Linked DNA regions of Rattus norvegicus. The protein of the gene in region 1 binds, or shares a complex with, the protein of each later gene. Links are inferred from orthologs where the notes say so. Each region holds a gene or a part of one and is shown in the gene's direction. Other genes may lie near its edges. The genes, in order: Rbm15, Wtap and Mettl14.

Evidence for each region.
Region 2: Rbm15 (region 1) and Wtap share a complex: the UniProt entries of both Homo sapiens proteins name them as parts of the WMM complex. The link is inferred for Rattus norvegicus from reciprocal best matches to the Homo sapiens genes RBM15 and WTAP.
Region 3: Rbm15 (region 1) and Mettl14 share a complex: the UniProt entries of both Homo sapiens proteins name them as parts of the WMM complex. The link is inferred for Rattus norvegicus from reciprocal best matches to the Homo sapiens genes RBM15 and METTL14.

What each region holds. Positions count from the first base shown.
Region 1 is NC_086020.1:197,637,427-197,647,279, reverse strand, and holds the start of Rbm15 (RNA-binding protein 15), read left to right. Parts: upstream 1-4,582; 5' UTR 4,583-5,450; coding exon 5,451-8,316; intron 8,317-9,853. UniProt on the Homo sapiens protein: RNA-binding protein that acts as a key regulator of N6-methyladenosine (m6A) methylation of RNAs, thereby regulating different processes, such as hematopoietic cell homeostasis, alternative splicing of mRNAs and X chromosome inactivation mediated by Xist RNA.
Region 2 is NC_086019.1:50,065,813-50,075,655, forward strand, and holds the start of Wtap (pre-mRNA-splicing regulator WTAP), read left to right. Parts: upstream 1-5,160; 5' UTR 5,161-5,345; intron 5,346-5,445; exon of another isoform or gene 5,446-5,579; intron 5,580-5,621; exon of another isoform or gene 5,622-5,928; intron 5,929-9,843. UniProt on the Homo sapiens protein: Associated component of the WMM complex, a complex that mediates N6-methyladenosine (m6A) methylation of RNAs, a modification that plays a role in the efficiency of mRNA splicing and RNA processing.
Region 3 is NC_086020.1:214,226,301-214,236,061, reverse strand, and holds the start of Mettl14 (N6-adenosine-methyltransferase non-catalytic subunit), read left to right. Parts: upstream 1-4,649; 5' UTR 4,650-4,800; coding exon 4,801-4,866; intron 4,867-7,040; coding exon 7,041-7,129; intron 7,130-7,900; coding exon 7,901-7,988; intron 7,989-9,395; coding exon 9,396-9,476; intron 9,477-9,761. UniProt on the Homo sapiens protein: The METTL3-METTL14 heterodimer forms a N6-methyltransferase complex that methylates adenosine residues at the N(6) position of some mRNAs and regulates the circadian clock, differentiation of embryonic stem cells and cortical neurogenesis.

The sequences.
Region 1 (9,853 bases):
AGGTAGCAATGAATATCCTAGTAAGAGCACCAGTGGAAGGGGAAGCCCTGGGTCCTGCTAAGACTGAACCCCCAGTGAACTAGACTATGGGGGGAGGGCGGCAACTGGGGGAGGGTTGGGAGGGGAACACCCATAAGGAAGGGGAGGGGGGAGGGGGATGTTTGCCCGGAAACCGGGAAAGGGAATAACACTTGAAATGTATATAAGAAATACTCAAGTTAATAAAAAAAAAAAGAGATCACTCATTTTATATCGGGATATGAGACAGAAAATTTTAATCTACTATTATGGAAGGGAAAAATGTTAAGTTTCAAGCTTTAGGCCTGTTTGCATATACCAGGAAATTAAACAGCTCTCAATAAATTCATATTGCAAGCATTGTCTAGATATAACACAATAAAACCCAGGAAGAATAAAGATGGAAAGAACATTGAAATTATACTGATATTTTTAAAGTTGTGCATGTACTTTTGATTTTTTTCTTTCATATTTAAGAGAAATTTTAAAGGAGATGGTGAAAACACTTTACAGAGAAAGCTAGTAACTTTCCCTCAAGGATTCCAGTAGTATAACTCCAGTGGGCCAATACTAAAGCAAAATGGGCTACAAAAGCTTCTCCTCACCACTATTTCTTGGATTTTGGCAGAGCACTAAAAGAACAGGTTGACAATGCACTACTATGGTGCTAGGGGAATTTGTAGCTAGCTTAACTCTAGTCATAAACACCATGATCACTGAGGGCAGTTGCCCTCCTGAATCTGGCCACTGATCACTTGGAGACAAGAGGAAAGCTTGGATTGCATCTTAACAACTTTATTGACAACACCCAAAGAAGAGTTTCAAGTCTTTGCCCTTTATACCACGGGTCAGGTTTATCCTTTCTCAGCCCTCCTCAAGGTACACGTGTAAAGCTAAACCTCACTTACACAGCTTAGTGCTTCAAAGAACCCAAGGAAATGAAAACAAAATAAATCACTTAATCACAGCAAGTCTTCTCAATGTTTGCTTTCTATTTCAATGAACATTTGCTTAAAGTCAAGTACAAGCAGAATAAAAAGATTACACTTTTAATGCTTAGGTCATCATTCTGTTCTGTCATGGGCAAACATGTAACAGGCTATATTTTGACTCTTACTGCCAAAAGGTGATGGCCTTTGCTGTTAGCATTAACTTTACCAGTCCTCTTGGCTCCAGGAAGGACTCCAGTTCCCTTGGAAGCCTTCCTAGCTTTTACCAAGCTCCCTGATGCTTCCAAAGGACGAGCCACTGAGTTGTTTGTCCCTTTTCATCTCTTTCAATCTTTCTCAGTTCTAGTTTCTAGTTCTCAGTTGCTTCCCTCAGACTCCTGCCATTAGGTCCAGGAACTACACTGACTGGTCCTTATCTTGCCTTTGCATCAGTGAGTCACTATGTTAATCGATTTAGGCTGAAAACAGTCACTCATAGTTTTTCTGGATTGACTATTACATTGAGTAATCAGGTTAAAGTTTAATCCAATGTCCTTTTCTGTAGTATTCATATAATCTTAAAATAGATGAACACACCCATGAAAAGTTCTTTATGCTATTTTAGAGATTATATGTACAACTATTTTATCTCCCAATATCCAAAGTTTTATTTTTCAGTATTGTTTTCCACTAAAGAGAACCATTTTTGAAGGAATGGTGGATTCCACATCTGAGGCAAAATGCATTGGACATGCCTGGAATAGAATAATAGAGTAGGCAAGGATGGGAATAAGATGATAGACTTAAAGAAAAAAGATTGACATGATCTTATGATTGTCGAGTCTCTGCGTTCAGAACATGGGGTGCTCTTCCGAAAATATTCTACTATTGTATATTTTTAAACTAAATCCTACAAGGAAATTTTTATTTACAATGTCAAAAAGTCTCTTGCTAATTCCAGAGCCTCCGCCCTGCGCCTAAGAGCAATTTCTGTAATAATTTCAATAAAATGTAAGCATGTATATGCAACACACAATTTTTAAAACGACAATTGGTAGTTTATTATACACATATTTCTCTGATTGATGGCATTTATGCTAACGGTCTTTTAAATATTATTTTTGCAGGCCTGGAGAGGTGGCTCAGGGGTTAAAAGTACTTGCTGCTCTTACAGAGGACACAGTTTGTTTTCCCAGAGGCCTATGTTGGTGACTCACAACCCTGTAATTCCAGCTTCTCTGGGGCTCTATCACCCTCTCTGGCTTCTCTGGGGATTAGAACACTAACATACATGCAGATATTCACATAAATATTTAAAGACAGGGTCTCATTACATAATCCTGGCAGGCCTAGTATTCACTATATAGATAAGGCTGGTCTTTTTTTTTTTACTCAAAGTGCTTATGTACACAACAGCATTTATGCCACTAGAGCAGAGGCTGTGATGACTCCTATTTCCTATTGGGTGGGAGCATACACTTAGTCTTATAGTATGGAGCCAACCGGTGAATTCTGCTCTCTATCGGAATCAGGCGGAATTTAGCATCCTTATCCTTTCTGTTCCTCTCAAGGTGCATTCGGACAGCAACTGCTTTCTTAATCAAATGGTAGAGATCCTCAGGAAGATCATGGGCATGGCCTTTGGACTTAAGGATTCTCAAGATTTTATTTCTAGTCACAAAAGAACTGACCTGTGCCGCACCATGTGAGTCCCTCAGGCTCACACCTATCTGGGAGGGAGTTAGGCCTTTCTTGGCCGACTTGTAAATTTGTTCCTTCACGTCATCAGACATTAACTTCAACCACTTCAGGATGCAGGGCTTAAGTGGATGTAGGGCAGAGCCGACTGGGACAGGCCCTTGCCGGAGCCTACATGATGGCGGAGATCTGGCAGCAAAGAGCAAATCTGGCCTTGAATTCAGCAAGATCTGTCTGCTTCTGCCTTTCACGTGGTAGGATTAAAGGGGTACATCACCAGGCCTGCTAAAATCTTTAAAAGAATATTTTTTTTCCGGTTCTCTCTTGCTCCTCTCTTGCTCTTGCCTTCCTGCCCCCAATCTCTCCTCCCCATTCCCTCCCTCGCCCTGCTCTCCACATGCTCATGGCCAGCCTCAACTTCTCTCTCTCTCTCTCTCTCTCTCTCTCTCTCTCTCTCTCTCTCTCTCTCTCTCTCTCTCTCCTATCCTCTTAACTCCCCTCCCCATGCCCTGAATAAACTCTATACTGTGCTTTAAAAAAAAGAATATTTTTCCACTAAGAATTGAACCTAGAGCTTCACTTAGGTGCCCAAGGTTCCTGAACTGTGTCTCCAGACTTCTTTTGTGTGGGGTTGGTTTTAAGACAGAATCTCACCAACTTATCAAGTTACTCAGGCTAATGAAGAATTTATGATCCTTACCCTCAAGAGTAGCTGGGATATAGGTGCTCCAAAAGCCACACAACAGCAACTTTTAATACAAGTATGTCTATGCTTTATAGTATTTTGGGGTTTATAATTTACCTATCAGGCTTCTTTCAAATCTTTTTGATGTAATCAAGAGATTTTGGACCAAGTATTCACCAATTTCAAGATTATATACTAACAAAACAAATCGGCTGAAATAGGGCTAATCAGGTTGCTGTATCTAGTCTTCAAATAGCTTTTAAATTTAGAATTAAGGGTTTTTTTTGGGGGGGGCATTCTTATCACCTTGTAAAATGTCCTGTTTTAAAACACATTCTCAACTCAGTCTTAAAAGATGGGAATACCAGAATCTTTCTAATGTCTTCAAGGTACATATTTGGGGAGACTGCAAAAAAGCCTATTTCGCGGTTGGGGATTTAGCTCAGTGGTAGAGCGCTTGCCTAGCATGCGCCAGGCCCTGGGTTCGGTCCCCAGCTCCGAAAAAAGAAAAAAAAAAAAAAAAAAAAGCCTATTTCCCCTCACCAGGAGGTAAGCACCAGTGGTATAGACTATCCATCTTTTTTTTTTTTTTTTCTTTTTTTCGGAGCTGGGGACCGAACTCAGGGCCTGGCGCTTGCTAGGCAAGCGCTCTACCACTGAGCTAAATCCCCAACCCCTACCCATCTAATCTTATGATCACCAGTATTACACAAGCTTACGAGACTCCTTACAGATGCATGGGGTCACCGAAGTTGGTGGCGGGGAGACGTTTAGATTTGAATCAGGGTTAAAGGAGTCAAAGGAGGGGGATCTAGGAGGGGACAAGGTGGCCATGTTACTGGATCCTAATATGGATTAATCGGAGTGCTGAGGTCCAAGAAACGAGATAAATGTAGTACCCGCACAGTGAGAAGCGTTACATATTAAAGCTAAGCACAGCTACCTTTCACAAATCTTTTATGAATGCAAATCCTACACATTTTCACAACATAAATCAGGAAGCAAAAAAGGCCTGCAAGTGGTCCTGCAGGTCAGACCAGTCGGTAGGCCCGGAAGCCCGGAGTGTAGGTCACTGCCGGGCCCAAGGCGGCCAGGGCTGCGCTCTGTTTCCTATGTCCGCGGGCGGGCTGTGACTCGGTACCGCCCAGGGCGTCAGCGTGACCCGAGGCTCAGTGAACCCTGAACTCACCGCCCCAGCCAGCCGCACAGACCGGGGCAGGCGCTTTCTCGCGCACGGGGGTGGGGCTTTTTCAGGCTGCTAACTAAGATGGTGTCGGCTGGACTTCCCGGGACAGCTGCCTAAGCGGATCGAGGGCCAGCAGCCGGAAGGACCACCGAGCCCATTGTCCCGCCCAGACAGGACAGTGCGGAGCCCGCAAGTTCCAGACTCGAAGGACCGAAGCACAGGCAAGTACGCCGTAGGACCTAACAAATGTTTAAGAGAACGCCGAAAGCGCGGGGAGGCGGGCCTGACTCACTGTCACCGTCTCGCGACAGCTAAGTGACGTCGCACAGCAAGCGCGTGGTAGAGTCTTTCACCTTCAGACTCCTCAGTTTATGGGCCTACTCCTTTAAGTGAGTGATGGACAGCGCTTTTATCCAATCATTTTCCTCGTCAACATCCAATCAGATTTAAACTTTATTCAGCCGCCGGAGAAGTTGGAAGACTGGGGTTGAAAGAGAGCGAGCGAGTGAGCGAGCGAGCTCTTTGTCTCTCGCGAGATCCGAGAGAGCCAAGTTCTCAGGGAAAAACGCCTGAACTGATGTCCAGACTTCCCAAGTAGTGATTTAAAGGACGTGGCCATAAACCAATGAAAGGGAAGAGAAGGTGGGATCGCTGCTTTCGCCGTGCTAGAAGTACCGTTACAGGGCAGACTTTTTGTCCAATCAACGCTTCTAGGCTTTGGGTCAGGTGACCATGAAGTGCGAGGGGCGGAGCTACAGCCTGGCGCGAGGAACCGTTAAGATAGACAACGAATATAACCAATGAGGTACTGCGATTAGGGCGTTGGGAACCCAATAACAGCGTCGGGGCGGGCGCCTTCCCGGAGCGCGGGGAGATGTAAAGACGGACAAATAGTTTTTCCAATGAGAAAGCTGAAGAGTGAATTAATTGACCAATGAGGTCTGCGGGGCGGGAGCCTTTGCCGCGGCGGAGTCCAAGATGGCGGCGTGCGAGTCCGCTGTGTGAAACGAGCGCGGGGTGGCGGGTTAGTCAGCTCCGCAGAGACGACCTCCGGCGACCCTCAACAATGAAAGGAAAGGAGCGCTCGCCAGTCAAGCCCAAACGCTCCCGTGGCGGTGAGGACTCCAGTTCTCGTGGGGAACGGAGCAAGAAGTTAGGGGGCTCTGGCGGCAGCAATGGGAGCAGCAGCGGGAAGACGGACAGCGGCGGGTCGCGGCGGAGCCTTCATCTGGACAAGTCCAGCAGCCGAGGCGGCAGCCGCGAGTATGATACCGGTGGGGGCAGCTCCAGTAGCCGCTTGCATAGTTACAGCTCCCCAAGCACCAAAAATTCCTCAGGCGGGGGCGAGTCGCGCAGCAGCTCCCGGGGTGGAGGCGGGGAGTCACGTTCCTCTGGGGCCGCCTCCTCAGCGCCTGGCGGCGGGGACGGCGTGGAGTACAAGACCCTGAAGATAAGCGAATTGGGGTCCCAGCTGAGTGACGAAGCGGTGGAGGACGGACTGTTTCACGAGTTCAAACGCTTCGGTGATGTAAGTGTCAAAATCAGTCATCTCTCAGGTTCTGGCAGCGGGGATGAGCGGGTAGCCTTTGTGAACTTCCGGAGGCCAGAGGACGCGAGGGCGGCCAAGCATGCCAGAGGCCGCCTGGTGCTCTATGACCGGCCTCTGAAGATAGAAGCCGTGTATGTGAGCCGGCGCCGCAGCCGCTCCCCGTTAGACAAAGATACTTACGCCCCGTCGTCCAGCGTGGTCGGAAGCTCTGTAGGTAGCCACAGGCACGCCCCTGGAGGAGGTGGAGGTCAGAGATCGCTTTCTCCTGGCGGTGCTGCTTTGGGATACAGAGACTACCGGTTGCAGCAGTTGGCTCTTGGCCGCCTGCCTCCTCCACCCCCGCCACCATTGCCCCGAGAGCTGGAAAGAGAACGAGACTATCCGTTCTATGACAGAGTGCGGCCAGCATATAGTCTTGAGCCGAGGGTGGGAGCTGGAGCAGGTGCTGCTCCATTCCGAGAAGTGGATGAGATATCACCTGAGGATGATCAGCGTGCCAACCGGACACTTTTCTTGGGCAACTTAGATATCACTGTGACAGAAAATGATCTGAGAAGGGCTTTTGATCGTTTTGGAGTCATCACAGAAGTGGACATTAAGAGGCCTTCTCGTGGCCAGACCAGTACTTACGGCTTTCTCAAATTTGAGAACCTAGACATGTCTCACAGGGCCAAAATAGCAATGTCTGGCAAAATTATAATTCGGAATCCAATCAAGATTGGTTATGGGAAAGCCACACCCACTACCCGACTTTGGGTGGGTGGTCTGGGACCTTGGGTGCCTCTTGCTGCCCTGGCACGAGAATTTGATCGATTTGGCACCATTCGAACCATAGACTACCGAAAAGGTGACAGTTGGGCATATATACAGTATGAAAGCTTGGATGCAGCTCATGCTGCCTGGACCCATATGCGTGGATTCCCACTTGGTGGCCCAGATCGTCGCCTTAGGGTAGACTTTGCAGACACAGAACATCGTTACCAGCAGCAGTATCTTCAGCCTCTGCCCTTAACCCATTATGAACTAGTGACAGATACTTTTGGACATCGAGCACCTGACCCTTTGAGGAGTGCTCGGGACCGGACACCACCCTTACTATACAGAGATCGTGATAGGGACCTTTATCCCGATTCTGATTGGGTGCCACCCCCGCCACCGGTTCGGGAACGCAGTGCTCGGGCTGCAACTAGTGCCGTCACTGCTTATGAGCCACTGGATAGCTTGGATCGAAGGAGGGATGGCTGGTCACTGGACAGGGACAGAGGTGACCGGGATTTGCCTAGCAGCAGGGACCAGCCAAGGAAGCGAAGGCTGCCTGAGGAAAGTGGAGGACGGCATCTTGATAGATCACCCGAGAGTGACCGGCCTCGAAAACAGCGTCACTGCACTCCTTCTCCTGACCGAAGTCCAGAACTGAGCAGTAACAGAGATCGTTACAACAGTGACAATGATCGATCATCTCGTCTTCTACTCTTGGAAAGGCCTTCCCCAGTCAGAGATAGACGGGGCAGTTTGGAGAAGAGCCAGAGTGACAAACGAGACCGTAAAAACTCTGCATCAGCTGAACGGGATAGGAAGCACCGGACAGCTGCTCCCACAGAGGGAAAAACCCCTCTGAAAAAGGAAGACCGATCTGATGGCAATACACCCAGTGCCAGCACTTCTTCATCAAAGCAGAAGCCACCTTCCCAGAAACAGGATGGAGGGACAGCTCCTGTGGCAGCATCCTCTCCCAAACTCTGTTTGGCTTGGCAGGGCATGCTTCTACTGAAGAACAGCAACTTCCCTTCCAACATGCATCTATTGCAGGGTGACCTCCAAGTTGCTAGCAGTCTACTTGTGGAGGGTTCCACTGGAGGCAAAGTAGCCCAGCTCAAGATCACTCAGCGGCTCCGTTTGGACCAGCCCAAGTTGGATGAAGTAACTCGACGCATCAAAGTGGCAGGGCCTAATGGTTATGCCATTCTCCTAGCTGTACCTGGAAGTTCTGACAGCCGATCCTCCTCTTCCTCAGCCACATCAGACACTGCCGCCTCTACTCAGAGGCCACTTAGGAACCTTGTGTCCTATTTAAAGCAAAAGCAGGCAGCTGGGGTGATCAGCCTCCCTGTGGGAGGCAATAAAGACAAGGAAAACACCGGGGTTCTTCATGCCTTCCCACCTTGTGAGTTCTCTCAGCAGTTCCTGGATTCCCCTGCCAAGGCACTGGCCAAATCTGAAGAAGATTACCTGGTCATGATCATTGTCCGTGGTGCGTCCTAAAGTCCATGTGTAACTTGTATTTACTACTTTGACATGGTTCCTTGTTTTGTGATGTGTAATGGGATACAGCATCAGATGAAAATTTCTTTCATTTAGTTTAGTTGGTTTTTTTTTATATATATATTTTTGTAAACCTCCTTAAAATAGATAATGGGGCAGTTTAGTTATTAAGTGAAAGGGATGCCCTGAAGGTAGCAGGAAGATAGATTTGCTTTAATTAGGAGTTCTTACCCTGATAATTTTTCTTTTTCTTCAGGTTTTTTATTTTTTCTTTTTCAATCTTGAGTTTTTAAAAAAAAAAAATCCTCAAAATGATAAACCCACAATTTTTAAAATCATAATTTGGAGAAAGGAACCTTCTGAAAATATTTACACTGTACTGAAAATGATTTGATTGGTGCATAGATAATTTATACTAGAAGCATTGTGTGACTAAAATTTGATCAGGTATTGGCAAAGTCCAATTATTTTAATCAGGTGTTTGCGTATTTCTTTATATACACAGTTTATTCCCAGAAAGTTTGCTTTAATATATCATTAGTTTTTGAGTTTTGTATCCCATGTTTGTAGCAGTAATTGGTAAAAGTTGACTTGTGTTATGAACCATTTACATCTTAAACTGGTATGCAAAAAATGAGTAAATGCTTTTAAAATGAAAATTTGTTGGTAAGTTAGGTGCAGGATAGTGTTCTAATTGACTGAGAAGTGTAGTTAATACAGTTCTATTGTGCATACTTCAAAACCAAAAATGAAGTTTTTTTGTATCCACTTAAGAAATTTCTGGTTTCAGTAAGAGTTGTCTGCAGGTTTATAAGTAATCCTTTTATTTCCCCTCGTAGACATTAGTCAAACATCCAAATTACAGAATTTTTAAAAGATTATTGTGAAATGCCTTCAAACTGTTTGAAGAAAATTCCTTCAGGTTTTGTTGTTGTTGTTGTTGTTGCTTAAACAAGAGTAGTGGCATTATATTGGTGACACTGTTTTGAATATTTTTGAAATTTAATGTTTGACTAACTGTTGCCTGACTGGAGAAATTTGAAATGTCAGTGTTAGAAAAACTTTTTTTTAATTATTACTATTTTTTTTTTAATTTTGATTTTTCTTGTACTTGTAATTAACTTACCTGCACAGATTCCCCACCCCCACCCCCATCAAGCCCTCTCCCCACAAAATTGAGAGCTGAGGATTTGACATCTGGTTTTTAATAAGGGCTTCTGTTACTTTATAATACTTTTTTTGTTTGTTTTATGTGCCCTTCTGCTACCACTTGTGATTTCTAAGGCTTAATGTGATTTTCTTCCTTGATTTAAGTACTGAGGACTTCAACTAGGGCCCAGTATTTAATTATGATTAGGAACTTGAGTTTTTGGATCATGGTCATTTTTCTATTCTGTGAACATGACTTACTCAAAGCCTTGCAGAACCCAACTGTTTTCTTTTTGTTTCAAAGCTTGTAGTCTTGAAATGGTATCAGTAATAACCCAGAAAAAGGTCACATAATTTTAGTTTTTCATTATGGCTAT
Region 2 (9,843 bases), on another chromosome or scaffold:
GTGTGGCCACTCCGTATGAAATCTCACACAGCTGGTCAACTTATCTCCAATAGAAACACGGTGAACTCTGTCTCTCCTCCCTTGCATCTGTCTGCTTGCCTCCAGGGACCCGGAAGTCCTGCCTATTCCCTCCACCCAGTAATTGGTCCATGGCTTCTTTACTGACAGATCAAGAACCAATTGGGGAACAAGACCTTAGCATCAGAACCACTCCTACAACCCTATCTTGAAAAATTTTTAAAACTTTAAAAAATAGAGGGCTAAAGAGAGGGTTCAGAGGTTAGAAGTGTGTATGATTTGTGCAAAGGTAGCCACATCAGATGGCCCACAGTGGCCTGAAACTCCAGATGTAGGAGATCCAATGCATTTGGCATCTGTGGGCAGCTGCACCCATGCACAAACCCACATATATACAAATAATTAAAATAATAACAAACTCTAAAAATAAACATGAATTTCTTTTACATCTCATAAATTGAATAATTAATTTTGGTAGCATCATTAGATTTGCACCACAACCCCTTGTAGGTTTATTTTCTGTCTTATTAAGTTGACAATTTGCTTCATATGATGACCACCAGAGTACTCCACTATAAAGATGAGCTCTCGCTTCGCTGTTAGAGGACAGTCTACGGACGCACACGTTGATGCCACACCATGGCTCTTCCCAACGTTTATTTTAAAAGGTTTTAACGCCCACTGATAATCTTTGCCTGAGTTAAGCACTTCACTGGGACTTACACTGTACTTAGTTTGTAATTCTATCATCATCTATTATACACTCACTAGGGGTACTCTATTGTGAAGAAATCCTTTCCAGGCCAGAGAGATGGCTCTGTAGTTAAAGGCTAGCTTCATATACCAGAGCATCAAGGAAAGTTTTCCTTCATCAACCGGAGGTGAATAATTGTGCTGTTGTTGTTCTTGTTGTTGAGACAGGCTCTTTCTATGTAGCCCAGGCCTGAAACCTAGTACCTTCCCACTTTAGCCTCATGATGGGATGTCCAATCACCCTAGTGCACTTTTAAGGCAGAATAAATGCTATTTTCTCATAGTTGAATTTTCAAAGTGCAACATTAATAACAGTCAATTACAAAGATGAAAACATAGCTTTCCCTCTCTCCTCTCACAAATAACTGGTGCCATGGCTGGTTTGGGTCTTTTTGAGGCAGATCTTGCTAGGTAGCCCAGGCTTTCCTCAAATTCCTAATGTCTGCCTCAGTTCCTGAGGTTTGGGGTTGCAAACAAGCTAGAGCTTTCCCATTTTCAGTGTTTGCGATCAACTCCCTTTTGAGGCTAAAATTGCCCCCAATTTGGCTTGTGGGAAATCCTCCAAGCAGGCTCATGTGGTTTCAAATTTACTTTTGGCACATATTCTATATAATGAACAATGGCCAGACTATATACTGTATGAAACAGAATTGTAACGCATGACCAAGAACAACTGTCTCAAGAAGGCAAAACGTTATTAACACTAACCAGCCCAGGAAGCCACCCTGCTGCATTCAGGCTGGAGGGAAGTCAGGCTGTGCTCTCTCCTCATTCTCCAGGAACCTAGATCATGCCTCTCGAACAATCAGTGCTGGAGATACAGGCCTGTGTTGCGCTCCCCCCCCCCCCATCCCTGTATAAAGTGCTTCATGAACCCGAGGCTTCATATATGCCAGGCACTCTACCAAGCTGAATTATATCCCCAGTCCTTGTCTCTACTCCCAACTTAGACAACTATGCCCCTCTATGGCAAGCAAATGAGGTGACTGGCTTCCAACTGGTCACCTCCAGCAGTTCAGTGCCCAGCCTCCAGTCAAGGCACAGTCCCTTCCCAAGGGGATGCCTCCTCTGCCTCCCCTGGAACCTCTGCAAACCCAAGACATGACTTGGACTGACTTCTTCCCTCCATGTCCCAGATTCTCAAAAGACAGCCTCTGCTTTTTAACTTTTATTTTTCTTATATTTTTATATGTATATTATTATATTTTATTGTAACTTTTAATTTTTTAGTTTTGAGCTTCTGCCGTTCTCATTTGGTTTGTCATGGCTTGTTTGCAAACTTTATTTACATGTAGCTTACATGCAACACATGTGCCCTTTTAGTGCTGGCTTGATTAGTTTTGGTAAGTGTGCATATCTGGCCAACAAGCTAAAGAACAAACACATAAGCCTGGCTAATCACACACAAGAGTGTACCTATGACCCTGAGTTCCTTAATCTTCCTCCTCAGTAGATTCCTCTTCCCTCCCACGTTTAGCACCTGCTGACCTCTAGACAATCACAATGGGTCAGTTTGCCTTTTCTCCTAAATCCTGTGACTAGACCTTACTCACTCAGACACTTCCTCTACATTTAAGATATTACACAAGTTTTTACTTATGTCTCCCAGAACTGGAACCAAGAGTTCTGGATTTTTTTTTTAATGTAAAATAGAACGTGGGGGGGTGGGATTGCTTCAGCAGAAGTGCACTTGAATGCTCTTCCAGAGGTTCTGAGTTCAACACCCAGCAACCACAGGGCAGCCCGTGATCTGATGCCTACTTTTGGTATGCAGGCGTACATGCATACAGGGTGTACATAAATAAGTTTACAAAACTTAGACACCAAGAGTGGGTGCTAGCTGCACTTACTGTCACCACTGATGCACAACCATCCTGCTTTGCCTGGGACGATTCTTTTAGCTTTATGTGTATGACTGTTTTGTGTGTGTGTGTGTGTGTGTGTGTGTGTGTGTGTGTGTGTGTGTGTGTGTATGCCATTTGTGTGCCTGAAACCAGCCCAGGTCAGAAGAGGACATTATGGATGATTGGGAATGGCCATGTGGGTGCTTAGAATTGAACCCACGTCCTCTGCAAGAGGGATAAAAGCTCTCTTAACCACTGAATCATCTCTGTAGCCCTTGCCTGGGAATATTCAATTAAATAAGCCATTGCCCCAGGAAACTACTTCAATACCTGGGAAGAAGGGACAATCAAGGAGTTAAGTTTTTTTTTTTTTTTAAATGGGCTATATTAATTGTACAACATGATGGGCTTCGTTGTATCTTTCTGTGGTCAGAACTCCCTGGAGGTGGAGTCATGAGCCACCTGATACGGATGTGTCTTTCACCTTAAGACACTTTGAAATGTGTCCAAGAAGCTGGAGAGATAGCTCAGTCATTAGAGCACTGGCTGTGACTCCAGAGACGCAGGAGTTCCCAGCACCTAAATGGTGGTTCACAACCATCTATAACTCCATTCCAGATCTGCCGCCCTCTTCTGACCTCTACACCCACCAGGCACACAGACAACACTCATGCATGTAAAATAAAAAAGTTTAAATCAAAAAAAATTTTTTTAAATACAATGTGTTCAAATATGTGTATGTACCACAGTATACCACATGTATGCCCACAGACCAGAAATGGTCATCAGACCCATTTCTCTGGAACTGGAGTTACAATTATGAGCCACCATGTGAATGCTGGGAATTGAACCCAGGTCCTCTGGAAAAGCAACAAGTGCTCTTAAGTATTGAGAGCTATCTCTCCAGCCTCAAGATGATATTTCAATTTTTTTTTCTTTTCTTTTTTTTTCGGAGCTGGGGACCGAACCCAGGGCCTTGCGCCTCCTAGGCAAGCACTCTACCACTGAGCCAAATCCCCAACCCCCGATATTTCAATTTTAAATAGTGCTTCTGAACTTCTTTGGTTTTTGTATTTGTATCTCATTTGTTTATTATATATAAGTACACTGGGGCTGTCTTCAGACACACCAGAAGAGGGCATCAGAGCCCATTACAGATGGCTGTGAGCCACCATGTGGTTGCTGGGAATTGAACTCAGGACCTCTGGAAGAGCATCCAGTGCTCTTAACGCTGAGCCATCTCTCCAGCCCTGTATCTTATTTTCTTTTACACTAGAAATCTTTGGAGAAAGTAACATTGAAATGTTTGTACTACAATAAACATAACTTCAAAACCACAGCAACAATGTTATAATTACAAATCACTTAGTGAAACTGAGTGATTCTTAGGTATCCACAGGCACAGTGCCAGAGTGTGAAACTCAAAACACTGTAGCTATATATATTCTTTGTCTATGTCTCAGTTCCACTGCCAAACTGCTTAAGAGTCAATTGGTTCGTTTCAATTTACTTGACTTTGAAGGGTTTTTACCTTTTGTCTTCATAAATTTTGAACTCAGAGAAGCCTTGCTTCTACCTTTATCTCCTATAGCCATTACCACTTTTTGAGTAAGTATTAAGTTTCTGCAATATCCTTCTGTCTTCCCAGTATGTGCCTACATATATGTGTATATGTATTTCTACACATTGCTTTATTCACTCAGCCCAGTAGTAATTCCAAAGTAACACATTAACTATTAATGACTGCATCCCTACCAGGATACAGGATTTCAATGTGTATTTCCATTATAAACAAAGTTGATCCTCCTCCTACGATATATTTAAGGACATCTTCTCTGTGAATCATCTGTTCATGTCTTTTCCCATTTTCTTTAGTTTTCCAAGACCTTTTTTTCTCTTAGCCTAAGTGGAACACCATGGCTCCTCTGGTCATCTGGTCTCTACTGTAATTGTGTACTTATAAGTGATCTCAGCCAGGACACCTTCGCTGGGGATTAACTGCTCTCATAAAACCGACTAAACCTAAATATGACTGTCCCATCTGGGAAGTGCTGAAGAGACTGCAGACTAACGCCGTTCTTGCTGTAATCCAGGCGACTGTCTTACTGGAGTGATTTCTCGGACTCCAGAATCCTCACTCTGCTGCCTTCTCCGGGATTCTGGTGTGCGATCTGCCCTGGAACGTCCCACAGGCGCAGCTTCCTTGCACCTCAACTTAAGCCCAGAGACGCCACAAGGAGCAAAGCCGGCGGCCGCAGGGAAAGCGGCGGCTTCTAAGGCCCCCAAACTTAGGACGAGGGGCGCTTAGGCGTGAAGCTGCTGTCTCCGCGTTCCGGCAGCGCGAGCGGAAGCATCCTGTGCTATGCGGCCTGCAGCGAAGAGCCAATCACGCGCTCGTCGGCTCGGATTCCTCCGCCCAGGCCGTGCTGCAGCCGCAGGTGGCCCCGCCGAGCGTGTCCGGCAGCGGCCGCCGTCCCGTGATGCCTCGCGGGTGACCTCTGACCTCGCGGGCCCGCCCTTCTCTCCGGCCGCTTCCCTCCCCATCCCGGCTAAGCTTGCAGAGCCCCCACGGGGCAGGTGCGAACCTCCGCGGACGGTCTCGGTGCGGCTGCGGAGAGCCGCTTGCCCCTCCGCGCCCCGAGACCCCGAGCGGGCCGGCCTCGCCTCGTCTCTTCTGGCCGGAGGCACCGGGCACGGTGACCGAGGCGGCGCCCGAGAGGCGCGTCTCGGGTGAGTGGGCCACGGGCGGGGTATCGGCGGCGCACTCGGGGCGGGGCGCACTCGAGGCGGGGCGGGGCCGACGGCGGGGCCTGGTTTCCTCCCTCAGCGCCATTTTGTGGCTGCGAGACCCGCAAATAAAGGCTATCTCCGGGGCTGCGGCGGGAGGAGTGCGGGGGGGGGCCGGCGGCGGCGCGGCCTCGGCCTGTGTGACTGGCGGCGCCCGCGCAGCCTCGGGCTGGGAAGGTAGGTGCGGCCCGCGGCGGGAATGGCCACGAGGGCCTGCAGGGACGGGAAGCGAGGCGCGGCCGCCCTGGACCCGGCGAAACGCACTCCAGGCCCGAAGGGCGACCGGGCTTGCGGCCGCGCTGGCTTCCCGTTAGTCAGAGCGGTTTGCTGCTCGTGGGGATACTTGCACCGTTTCACAGCCATTCTGCTCCCGTTCCTGACGGCAGGGGACAAGGCGGGCGTTCCCGCGACTGGGGAGGCGGGGAGGCCGGAGGCCGCCCTCTCGGGGCTGACTGGCCATGCCTGTCCTTTCCCCGCCTCTGTCGCCCCCTCCCACCTTCCAGGGTTCGTCACCCGGGACCTAGAGGTACCGATAGTTCTGTATGACCCAAGTGATGCATTCGGTTCTTTAAAAAAAAAAAAAAAGGAATTTCACGTCACGCAGTAGCTTGTCATTGCAGCCACGTTCTCATGTGGACTTCCATTTTTACATAAGTATGCATTGTGAGAGTAGTTAATTTTTTTGACAGCTTCCTGAAATTTTTCGTGAACTTTTAGTCTAGTTTTGGATCTCTGTAAGGCTGATTTGACTATATTTAAACTTGATTTTCATAAGACAGTGCACAGTGAGAAAAGACCTAAGTTTTTCTGTTTGTGTACATATTTTCTTATTGGGGAGGGCGGGGGCGGCTAGGGATGGAACGCTAGGCCTTGTGCATGCATGTTATTAGGCCAGCATTCTGCCATTCATCTAATCCCCGAGCCCACAGTTCTTGGTTTGATAATGAGGAAGTCAGTTAATTTGACCCCAAAGGACTAAGACACTGCACACTGGTTGTAAGGATCGGTGAGCATGTTATAGTCGTAAATTGTATTTATGCCTTTTTTGTCGTTCTCACTATAGCCTCGCTTTTTTCATTTAGTTAATTTTATTATTTGGAAAGATAAGTGGAAGTCACAAATCAGTTACTACAAATTCTATTTGTTTTTCACTTTAACTTATTTATTTGAGCATCGGAGCTGGAGAGTTGGCCCAGGAGTTAAGAGTACTTTTTGCTCGTCCAGCACCCAATTGATGGCTCGTGGCCATCCTTAACTCATGTTCCTGGGAATTTTGACTTCCCTCTTCTGACCTCTGTGGGTGGCACCAGGCATGCACGTGATGCACATACATACATGCAAAACATTTACAAAAAATTTTTAAAAGTACTTAATTTTAAAACCATGCACCAGGTTTTCTCATAGGTAAATATGTAGGCATCTGAAACTATTAAAAACAGACATTTTTTGAGGTGGCTAGGTTTCATTCATTCAGCAACTATTGCTCAGGCAAGTTGGGGAAAGTTGCAGTCTACAGGATGGCTTCTGATGTGTTGGAACTGAATTTTAAGGATTTGGGCAGATGTGTTTCTGAGGGTGCTTTAGTTCTTCATTCTTAAACAGATGAGTGTGTTTGAACACTACTTAAATTATGGTTTGTAATAGCCATTTGATGTATTTGGACAGAGCATTACCATTTTCAAGGTCCCTCCTGTCTTTTTGTGTATATAATGTAGACTCTTGAAAATATTGTTAGCCGCCTAGATAATTGGTGTAAGGTGTAGTTAAATTTATCATGCTCTTTAGAAGTTTTACTTGATATGCATTCTTGTTTTTATCTCCCACTTTCTTCCTCTAAATACTTCCTATTTCTTTTCATTAAGCTTGGGAAGTTTTTTTTTTTCCAGTATTCCCATCATTGAATAAGCTATTGGTGTTAGGTGTTAGGCATTTCCATCAGACAAGATTCAGTGTTCTTTGCTTTAAAGATGAAGTTGGTAGAGTTTATTTCCTGTGTTGATTGTGTTCAGGCAGTCCTTGTTTGTATAGTGTTTTTATGGTACCAATAACAGACCTGCAGTACTTTGTGCCCTAAGCAACACTGATGTGGAAACTGAAGCCCAAAGAATTAAGTGACTTGATCACATAAACAGGAGACTGAAATAGTGTTCTGATTTCTAACAAGTCCCCTTACTCCTGCAGTGCTGAGGCTCCAGCACTGCCAGACGATGCCATTTCTTAACATCCACTGTGATTTATTTCAGCGAGCCATATACATGCCTTCTTGCATAACTTACCTTGGCGTGTGGTTGCCTTTCTCCAGAGAGTACTAAGTTGCCTAACTTAGGATCATAGTGTTATGATCTGGGATGGTAGGCACTTAGTCAACTAAAGCAGTTCCACAGCCTAAGCTAGGCTTTAAGAGTGGATGGCATTCTAAACTGAGATGAATTCTCTGAACTGTCTACACAAATAAGTTTAAAGTTATAGGTGTTTTGTCGTACGTCTGGAGTTAGAATTGTTATGAGCTACAGTGTGGCTGCTGGTAATCGAATCCAGGTCCTCTGAAGGAGCAGTCAGTATTAACTTCTGAGCCATCTCTCCAGCTGCTCCTTCCCCCTTTGTGTAATTTAAAAGCCCGTCATCTTTTAACCTGTTGGAAGTTTGCCAAATTATTCGTGTTTGAGGTTTTCTGTTTTGCCTTTTTTTTGTTTTGTTTTGTTTTGTTTTGTTTTGTTTTTAAAGATGGTCTGTCTCTCTGTAGCCCTGGCTGGCCTGCAACTTCCTTGTTGTAGAACTTGAAACTCTCCAGCCTCTGCCTCCTGGGTGCTGTACTGAACTATATGTGCTGTGCCACAGTGGGCAGGTTTTCTTGTGCTCTTCTGTTTGTTGACACAGGGTCTCACTGTAGCCCTGGCTGCCTGGAACTTGATAAATCCTGGTTATTCAAAATGCAGAAGTGCATGTTTTTTTTTCCTCTCTCATTTGTCATTTGAAGTTCCGGAGCCCTGCGTGTGTTTAGCATGCACTGTAAAACTACGTTACATCCTTAACCCATGTCATACTTTTTAAAAAAGTATGTGTGCGATGTTCTGCTCACATGTATGCCTGTACACCAGAAGAGGGCATCAAATCCCATTATAGCATTTAGAGAGTTCCTAAAATCCTGATTTCTTCTGTATAACAGACCTAATTGGGTTCAGTGGTGGTATGACTAGACTATTCATGCATATGGGAGTATATGTACATTTATATTGGAAAAATCTTTACTTATGACAAGTCATATGTTCATTGAGAAATTAAATATCTTTTTAAAACAGTATAACAATTTTCAGTCAAAATCTTAATCGTCTAGAATTTTGAGACAGTCTCTCTGTAGCTTTGGCTGTCTGGAACTCTCAATACAGGATGGCCTCAAAATACAGGGATCCATCTGCCTATCCTTCCAGAGTGCTCAAATTTGAAGCATATGTTACTACACCCAGCTTATAATTTAGAATTTTTGATAGGTATTGGTAAGTAAAATAAAATGGAAAAAATAATTAAAGACAGAAGGTAACTTTGAGAACTAAGACCTAAGAATAACTGTTTGACTCCTGGTTAAGTTTGAATATTAGAAAATATCAGGGGGTTGGGGATTTAGCTCAGTGGTAGAGCGCTTGCCTAGCAAGCACAAGGCCCTGGGTTCGGTCCTCAGCTCTGGGAAAAAAAAAAAAGAAAATATCAGGTGTGTTCATAAGAACTTTTTTTTAAGATTTATTCATTGAATATACAGTATTTTGTATGTGTGCACACGCATGCGGGAAGAGGGTACCAAATCTCATTATAGAATGGTTGTGAGCCACCATGTGGTTACTGGGAATTGAATTCAGGTTCTCTGGAAGAGTAGCCAGTTGTCCTAACCGCTGAGCCATCTCTCTAGCCCCTAAAGATTAGTTCTTAATTCTCTGTGTGTGTGATAATGTGCATAGGCTTGCCTGTGGAGGCCAGAGGTGTTGGTTCTGCCTGGAACTGGAGCTGGAGTTGTGAGCCACCTTAGGTTGAATTCTGGGAACTGAACTCAGGTCTTTTTTGAGAGCAATTAACTGCTGAGCCATCCCTCCAACCCAAGAATTCATGTTAATTGTGTATAAATTATTACTTTAAAACAACTTAGATTTAAGAAAAATACTGTCCCACAAGCCGAGTCAAGCAGTGTTTAATATTTGTTAGGTTAGCTGTCTTTTCTGTATATTTATTTCCCAACTTGTATTGTGTAATACATTGTTTAAGGTCCATACTGTCTTAAGGTAGGCATACTTTATATTTAACATCCTTAGAGCGTAGTGAATCACATGATGGGTTCTGCTTCACTGTCAACAGCACAATGCTGTAGAAGTCAAGGCCAGAAAACTGGTGGCTGGTGCTGCCCTTCTAATCCTTCAGCCTTCTGAGGCCCGACTTACTGTCAACATTTTTAAAA
Region 3 (9,761 bases), about 17 Mb from region 1:
ATTTATTTTAGCTTATGCTAGACAACTCCGTACTTTGTTTCCTCTAGTGGTCAAGAAGAGTATCTCCAAATACAAACCAAATTATCCTAAAATTACAAAAGGGTACATAGAACCAGCTGATCCTAATGTGAGGTATTTAAGAAGTGGGTGTTGGTGCTGGTGGGCTGGTTGACAGCAGTGGTGAGGGTACATGTCTGTTTAGTAGGGCTGGTGCATATCACTGAAGCCATGCCTGTGAATATTCTCCTGTAAACTTCAGTTCATGGTAGAGAGATGGTACATATGGAGATATGGAGATATGGAGACGGGGGAGGATATCCACAGACATGTGTATATTGGTTAACTCAGGATTCACACTACCCTATGGTAGTGACTCACACCCTGCCTTTCTCCTGACACCACGTGTTCTTTATAGTGATTCACTAAACCGTGTCACTGGGACAGCTTATTTTAGTCAACTTTGAAATGATGGGATTATATTTTCCCACAAATGCTAGGAAGACTCGGACAGAGCAGCTATGACAGAGCAGCAGTTAGGATGTGAAACAGGAGCTGTATGAAAGGAGAGAAGTTTAGCACTCACTCCCCTTGACAAGGGTGGAAGAGGCCTGTGCGCCTGACAACAGACATATAGTTAAGGCACCGCCACCGACTGCGTGACATCTAACCACTGTGGTTTTTAGATGGAGGTCGGGGACCCTGTGGAAGAGTTAGGGGAAGGACAGAAGGCCCTCAAGGAGATGGTGACCCCACAGGATGACCAATAGTGTCAACTAACCAGGGCCCCTAGGGCTGGGGGGGATATGGGAGGTCTGCCCTCTCGGAGGTGAAGGGAAGGGGTGGGGGAGGAACTCTGGCGGGGGGGGGGGAACCAGGACAGGGCAGCATTTGAAATGTAAATAAACAAACAATTTTTTAAAGAAGATAAATATCAGGTTGTAATAGAAAAACATGAAGAGCTCTCTCTCTCTCATTTAGGTTGCATTTGTATTAATATTGTTTGATTCTATGTGGCAGTAACAGGCTGGGAAACTTACACAACAGCAATTTATTTCTCACAGTTCTGAAAACTAGGAAACCAAACATTGTGATGCAGTCTGCATTTTTTGTTGGTTATTTAATATGATAACTTGACCACTGCATCTTCCAGAGAGCAGGGACATCACATCTGTCTTAGTTAGGTCTGTTTTCTATTGCTGTGAAAAAAACCCATGACCAAAAAGCAAGTTGAAGAGAAAAGGGTTTGTTTGATTTGCACTTCTATATTGCTGTTTGTCACTGACAGAAGTCAGGGCAGGAACTCAAACAGAGAAAGAACCTGGAGGCAGGAACTGATGCAGAGGCCACGGAAGGGTGCTGCTTACTTGCTTGCTTCCCATGGCTTGCTCAGCCTGCTTTCTTATAGGGATGGCACCACCCACAATGGGCTGGGCCCTCCACATCAATGACTAATTAAGAAAATGTCTTAAAGCTCAGATCTTTTTTTTTCTTTCTTTTTGCTCTTGATAATCACTAAAATAACTTTTGGACCCTCTGTATACCAGGACATTGTGGCAAAGTGTCCCTATCTTGACTAATTTAAACCAAAGAAAGCTCAGATCTTATGGAGGCACTTTCTCAGTTAAGATTCCTTCCTTGATTGACCCCTTGTCAACTTGACACACAAACACACCATTATTAAGCCACGCCATTTCTTTCTTATCCATCCCCAAGATCTCACATTAAAAACATAAATAAGCATACATTTAAAAATAAACATTAATACAGTCTTTCACAAATTCAAACACATTACATTTTCAGTTTCTTTAAAATATGTAAAATCTCTTTAGCCTCAGGCAGACGTTTTGGACAAGGGCAGAAGCAGCCACATTCTTCACCAAAACATCACAAGAATAGTTCCTAGGCCACATTCATCTATTCTCCTCTGAAACACCTTAAATCAGGCCCCCACAGCTCAAATCATCCCCAGCACCACTGTCTTCCATTTCTCTACTACTTTGGCCCATTAAATTCTACTTAAAGCATTCAGCTGCTTTTTAAATCTGAAGTCCACATTTCTGCAAACAAAACCATGGTCAGGTCTGTCACAGCAATACCCCAGTCCCCAGCACCAACTTCTGTTTTAGTTACAGTTTCTATTGCTATGAAGAAGACACCAGGACCACAGCAACTCTTATAAAAGAAAACATTTAATTGGGGCTGGCTTAGAGTTTCAGGGGTTTAGTCCATTACTCTCATGGTGGAAATCACGGTGGCAGGCAGACATGGCACTGAAGAAGGGGCAGAGACTTCTACATCCATTCTGTAGGCAGCAGGAAGCAACTGAGACACATCCTCCAACAATGCCATACCTACTCCAATAAGGCCACATCTCCTAAGCCTATGGGAGTCCTTGTCTTTAAAACCACCACAAGGTCCTTATATGGCAGAAGGCAGGAATCTGGTGTGTGTGTGTGTGTGTGTGTGTGTGTGTGTGTGTGTGTTAACATTTTCCATAAAAACCCTTTATAAAAAGTAATGAATCCATCCAAGAGCACGGAGTCCTCATGATGCGATCACTTCCTACGTGTCCCATCGCATTCCTTTCAAGGCAGAGATTCATGGAAGCCAAGGTGCTGAGAATAAGTGACTTGAGTGTTCGGAGCACCCCCTCAAGCCTCAAGGATCATGGAGAAAGGGGGAGCAGAAAGAATGACAGACCTGAAGACAGGACATGTTTTCTGGGCATGGCACAGCCAATGAAGTCATGACCTCAGAGTTTGCAGTGACTACAGTGAGCCTACACAATACTGAGCCTATCAACATAGAATTAACAATCACGGACTGGGAAAGGGCTCATGGGGCCTCTCCTAATGAACTACAGCTATATCAATAGATTCTGAGCCAGGGACAGTCACTGTTTCTAGTTATGTACCTACTAGACGCTCACCAGGCCCCAGTGGTCGTATATACAATTCTGGTTAGACTCAGTGATTCTCAAAACAGAACAAATCTAGATATACTAATCACCAACCAGCAAACCAAGATAAGTAAATAACCCCATAGACACGAATATGGGGAAGGGATGTATGGGGTGAATAGAGGTGTGGAAAAGACTAGAAGGTGGATGGTTGCAATCATCCGAATGAACTTAATGCATATATAAAATTGTTGAAGAAGAAATTTTAAAAATTATTTTAAAAAGTAACACCTGATTTGGGGAATTAATTTTCATCACACATTTTTGGAAGAAACTGAAACAATGTAACACATGTAACAGATGATGGGAAATGTTCTAAGATACACAATAGGCAGTTGGATATACAGGTTTGCAGATAGCAATCCTAAGGGGCTTGGAGGAAGCAGTGCAAACTATGTGCATCATCACTCTTTTAAAGCAAGTACCTACAAATGAAATTGTTTCCTCAAAGAGTCGGGATGACACCTGGACTTCATCTTCGTCTCCCTCTTCTCTCGCTTACACACACTGGTATGTTGAGAGGATGAAGTGATATACAAATAAACATGTACAGGATCTACAGATGTGTTGATGCAGTCTAGTAATTACAACTTCAGTGGTGAGAGAGCTTAAAAGTTATATCCCTTTCTTTGTAAAAACTGCAACAATTCTCTGATGGATCCCATTGACTTCATAAATACTGTATGGATCCATGGTTGTCAGTCCCGCTTCCATGCAGGAGATACATAGTTACTTTAAATGGATAGCATGCGTTGGAATGGCTACCCAGCTTAGAGCTTACGGGACAGAAGGAGGAGCTGCCATGTTCATTTTGAGTTTTTGTTTTTTTTGACCTTTGATCTTTCGTAGACTCCAGAGCCCACCATACTTGCTATAAGAAATGCTCAGTGAGCATCTAGTCTCAGCAGTCATGATTAGCAAATAATACAGCGGAGTTTTAAAGAGATACATGTTAACACTATACAGTCAAAATATTTTACAGTATATTTTTTGAAAATTAACATTTTTTTGTCATGTAATTCTGCTATTATGCAAGAAACTCTTGTTTGGTTGTTGTTTTCGAGACAGGGTTTCTCGGCGTAGGCCTGGATGTCCTGGAATTTGCTCTGTAAATCAGGCTGGCCTTGAACTCGGAGATCTGCCTGCTTCTACCGCTCTGTTTGCATTTATTTTAATTAATTAATATAAATGAATGACAGGGTTTCCCTACGTAACTATTGCTGTTTGTTTGCATTTATTTTAATTAATTTATTTATATAAATGGATGACGGGGTTTCATTACAAGACCAGGTTGGCTCCAAACTCCTGGATCCTCCTGCCTCAGCCTCCCAAGGCCCTCTTACTGTTGTCCTTTTACAAAAGCTCGCTAACTTGCCAAGGGTACTGAGCTAGTGAGCGTGGAGATCCAATCCTTCACAAGCTGGTCAGTACTGCAGTAAAAGAAACCCACAAGCATACCTCAAATGTTAAAAAGCCAGGGCTTACAGGCAGGTAATTGGTTAACGCGAGAAAGAAAACTTCTTTTATGAGCAGAACAAAAAACGAACCCAAACCTCTGGGAAAGAGTTAAGAACTAAGACAGCTAGAAAGCGGCTCCCCACCCGCAACCACCTCTGCATCCTTCATTGGGTGTCGTCATATGACGTCATATAGCCGGCGTCCCAGAGGCGGGATTTCCTGTCTGGGCTTAGCCTGTCTCGGGCGCGCCGGAAATCCCTCCTGAGGGACGTGAAAGTCTCCGGGTCAGAATCTCGGTGGGACGCTGTTTCCTGGTTTGGGAGGAGGGTTTGCGTTTTGGCGGGCGCGGTGTCTGTCGGGTGGTGAGAAGCAGGACCTGGGGCATGGACAGCCGCCTGCAGGAGATCCGGGAACGGCAGAAGTTACGGCGGCAGCTCCTAGCTCAGCAGGTGTGAGGCCGGGTGGGAGGGGACGTCAGTGCGCGTGCGCGGCTGCCTTTTTTTTTTTTCACCCCCTCGTTTCTTTTTTTTTTTTTTTTTTCTTTTTTTCGGAGCTGGGGACCGAACCCAGGGCCTTGCGCTTGCTAGGCCAGCGCTCTACCACTGAGCTAAATCTCCAACCCCTTCCCCCTCGTTTCTTAATTCCCGCCTGTCCTTTTTGTGAATTCTCATCGGTGTCAAGGTCTTTGTCCCGGGACTTTTATTCCCTAGTCTCCCCACCTCCTCACACGTGCTAGTCAAAGTCATTATGTAGAAGACCCACCGCTACCAGTCTTGGACTTTCTGGACCCACATTTGCGAGCACAGACTTGTGGTGGGGATAAATTTGCTAATTGTCGATGAGTGTTAGTAGTTGTAACAAGGACAAGTGGCAGTTTTAGCTCCTACATTTCACCTTCACTGGTTAAGCAATGTTTCGCGTCTTGCTTTTCGTCCAAATCAGCTTCAAATCCTTTTTTTTTTTTAAAGATTTTTTTTTTTATTTTAAAGTGTGTGGTTTTGTCTCCGTGTGTATATGTGCCAGAGGTGTCGGATCTCCCTGGTGCTGGAGCGACAGGTAGTTGTGAGCCTCCCGATGTGGGTGCTGAGACATGAACTTCGGAAGAGCAGTGCATGCTCTTAGGCGCTGAGCCATCTCTCTAGCCCCAGCCTCACGTTACTGAGATTGGTTTTGGAGAAAGTTTGATTATTTTCTTGAGATCCTGTGGAAAGACTCACTGGAAGCAACTGAGTAAAGATTCTGCCCTTAAAACACAATCTCCCATCAACCAAACATTTGAATCCTTACTTATTCCTACTTGGAATAGGCTTCCAAGATTGTTAGGTTCTCCTTGGCCAGTCCTCACCAGAGAATTAACTAAGATCTGTCTCTCCAAACATTACTTTTCCAAACCTTTCACTTTCCTTGAAGTGAGATGAGTATGTGAGTGCTTGCCGTTTAGTGGACCACACGTGCAGGGAGTACATACTACAAGTTGTTTCACTTAAAATCTGAAGCTGTTGTCATTACCCCATGCAAACCAATATAAGTGATGGAGGGAAATGCTCAACGCTTTAGCGAGTAAATTTTAAATTTCCAATGAGTCTTTCCGCAGGCTCTCAAGAAGATAAAACAAACTTCCCTTAAAACCAATCTCACAATGTGAAGCTGGCTAGAGAGGTAGCTCAGCGATTAAGGTAGCTTGCTGTCACTTTCCATTGCTAAATCTTGGGTTCCTCAGAGAACTTTCTGAAGGATTGACTGAGATGAGATGAGAATTACAAATAGTCATGGGGAGAAAATTAGAAAATTCTAACTATAGGAAGTACATGTTCTGTCCTCAGACCAGAAAGACGTGGAGAAGATTTTTACGGAGGAGTTGAAACTGGTGTATTGGAAGAGAGCTTTTATTGGAGAAATGAAGGCAGCCCTAGGAAGCAGTAGAGAAGATTTTGTTGTTTAAAGTCAAAGCTGCTCATTTGTAGCCCTGATATTTTTGAATACCTTCTTGCCCTGGAGCTAAAGGGAACACTAAGTACTGATTTTCTTATGCCGTTTTTGTGCTTGATACTAAAGAGTTCCTCGTGCTGCCCTGTGTCCTTAGTCTGACCTGGAAGGTTTTCTGTGAATTAGTTTTATTCAGCTCAGCCTTTGTTTACATTTGTTGCATTCTGCAGAGTTTCTTCAGTGGCCATTTAAAGTTGACATTACCGTTTTTAAGCTATTAGTAAATTTTATTAAAGACTTAGCTTTTTTTTTTCTTTTTTTTCTTTTTTTCGGAGCTTAGCTTTAATGAAACTGATTGCATTTCTGTGAGAGCATGGGATAGAATATGATATATAAAGCAATTCATATGAAGTCATTTGCTTTTGGGTTATTGATAGTACTGCCAACTTGTGTTTTATTCAGAATTGGCCAAAGAGAATCATCTTAATTTCAAATATAACCAAATGCATAAAATATTTTCCAGCTGATAAAATCATTCTTAATTAAAACGATGTTCTTACCGTTCACTTACACGCCTGTTGATAGTGTGGTATGGGCGGTGTTGCTTTTATAAAATACTTGATTTATTAAAATTAGCAGCACATTTTGGGCGTGTGAACAATGCGTTGTGACCTAACTTTGGGTTCTTGCTTCCTAGTTGGGAGCTGAGAGTGCAGATAGCATTGGTGCTGTGTTAAACAGCAAAGATGAACAGAGGGAGATCGCTGAAACAAGAGAAACTTGCAGGTATGTTGACCTTTTAGTGACGTGTGTACAGTGAGAAAGGATCATTCGTGTAAGTTTCTGTTGTGACGTATTTATGAGGGTTATTTTGGGGGAATGAGACAGTCCCGCTCTGTAGCCCATGTTGTCCTCACACTTGCAGCACCTCTGCCTGAACCTCTTGAGAACTAGAATCTCCCATAAGGGTTGATTTTTTTAATAAATAACTAATTGCAGGTTTGAATGTGTTCTTAAGAAAACTGTGAAAATGAAGATTTTTTGGAAATAGTTTTTAATGTCAGGTTGAAATTATTAAGTCTTTGTGAAAATACTGGGTTCGTATTTATAAAATAGGTGGAAGTGAAATGTTATACTAAGAATTAGCTTACATACCATAAAAACTGTTAAATTATAAATTACAATTTTATGAAAATGTACTTCAAACGTGGTATTCAACTGATAATTCAGAAAACATTTCATAATTTTTTATTCTGAATTTTCGGTTCTATCAGTTTAGCTTTCAGAGCATAGTATAAAATTATGTAAACTAATATATGAAACACTATTTAAAAGTTTCTCCTCATAATAAGTCTTTATACTAGCTTATTTTTTTCACTTGGTTGCTTTCTTATAAATAAAGCTACAAGTATTGCCTTTGGCTTTTGGATGTTTTATAGGTAAGTAGACATTTAATCAGGAAACATTTGGCTTCGCTTCTGTAACTTGTTAATAATACAAGCAGATGCATGTGCACCTTCTGTGCGCTCCTTAAGACAGCTGCGGTTGAATTCCCAGGGCTTCCTATGATACTTCTGCTCCAAATTCAAAACGGAAGTGTCTGGATGAAGGAGAGACGGATGAAGATAAAGTAGAAGAATATAAGGCAAGTAGAAAATGAGGTAGTTTTATACATGTTTGAGAAAAAAGTTAATCCTAATAGATTTGTCTCATTTAGAGAGCTGAACTGTAAGATCCTAAAATCCTTATGAGTAACATTTATCTGCTCAGTTAAAGACTTATATCAGGGGGTTGGGGATTTAGCTCAGTGGTAGAGCGCTTGCCTAGCAAGCGCTAAGGCCCTGGGTTCGGTCCCCAGCTCCGAAAAAAAGAAGAAGAAGAAGAAAAAAAAAGACATATCAGTTTGCTCATTTTATGTATGTGTATGCCATGATTGTACCATATGCATGCCTGGCCAGGCCAGTTGTTATATCCTGAGGTTCACAACTATATAAAGCCTTTGGTGAGCTTTCTTTCCCAGTAGCCTACTTTTCAGCCTTATACAAGCTAACCAGCAGGGAGGATGCTTTCTGGTTGGTTCTAGCTTGATTTCTCAAGTCTTATGACTCAAATATGTCTATCTTTGGCAATAAGGTCTACTATCAGGTTCTGGTGGGTGATCAGAAACAATGGCAATAGCCTATTCTGCAGGGTTATCTTGATACCCTGACCAACAATTCAAGGGAAGGTTTCTCACACTGACATTGGGATTTTTATTTGGCAATCTATGACTTCTGGAAGAGGCATTTCCTTTGTGTAGAGTAACTCAAGTTAAGCTCCTTTCTATATATGTATTTAAATATCTTATAAAATAGTACATTTCCACGTGACTTTTTCAAACACCCTTAATACTAGTTAAACCCCTGCTTCCCAGCCTGTAAAACCCCTCCCAACTTCCTATCCACTTAGCAAAACCTGAATTTGGTTTCCAACATCCATCCATAGGTACCAGCACTCACATGTTCATACCATGAACTCTTGCAGGGGACCTGGATTCAGTTCCTAACACCCACATGGTACCTGACAGCCGTCTGTTACTCCAGTTCCAGGAGATCTGAGGCCCTCTTCTGACCTCCTGAGGGCAAAACACTCAAAACCATAAAATAAATAAATCAACAAAATTTTTTTTTAAAAAAGTAAATCTAAATGTAATGCTAATATAAACATATCTGAGGGGAATAAAACACTCTTAAGATGCAATAATTTACTATATAAACATAAATGTATATATAAAATATATGTAAAGAAAAATATGAATATGTATATATATGCATGTGTGTGTGTGTGTGTGTCTGTGTGTATGTGTGTGGTGTGTGTTATGGTTTTTTTTGGGGGGGGGGGGCACAGGATTTTTCTGTATAGCCCTGGCTGTCCTGAAACTCACTCTGTAGACCAGGCTAACCTTGAACTCAGACATCTGCCTGCCTCTGCCTCCCGAGTGCTAGGATTAAAGAAGTTCCACCACATCTAAATGTATATATTTTAAATACTTTCTTCATCTTCCCTTTTCAAGGATGAACTAGAAATGCAACAGGAAGAAGAAAATTTGCCATATGAAGAAGAGATTTACAAAGATTCCAGTACCTTCCTTAAGGTAAAACAAAGACTTTTCAAGTCTTAGAACTTTCACATTTGAGCTCTATGCTGTAAAGGACCTCATTTTCTTGAGGAGTTTTTCAGTTTTTGAGAGATCTCTGTATGAAAACAAAGATCCTAAGTTACTCGTGAAATATTCTGATTATTTAGATATTTAGCCTATAATAGTGGTGTATTTATATCAGAATCTGTTGATAAGTAATGTTTTAGTTTTTCAGTGTAGTTTTTAGTGTTTTCAAATATTAGTGCTTTTTCAATGTCATACTTTGTACAGCTTCATAAT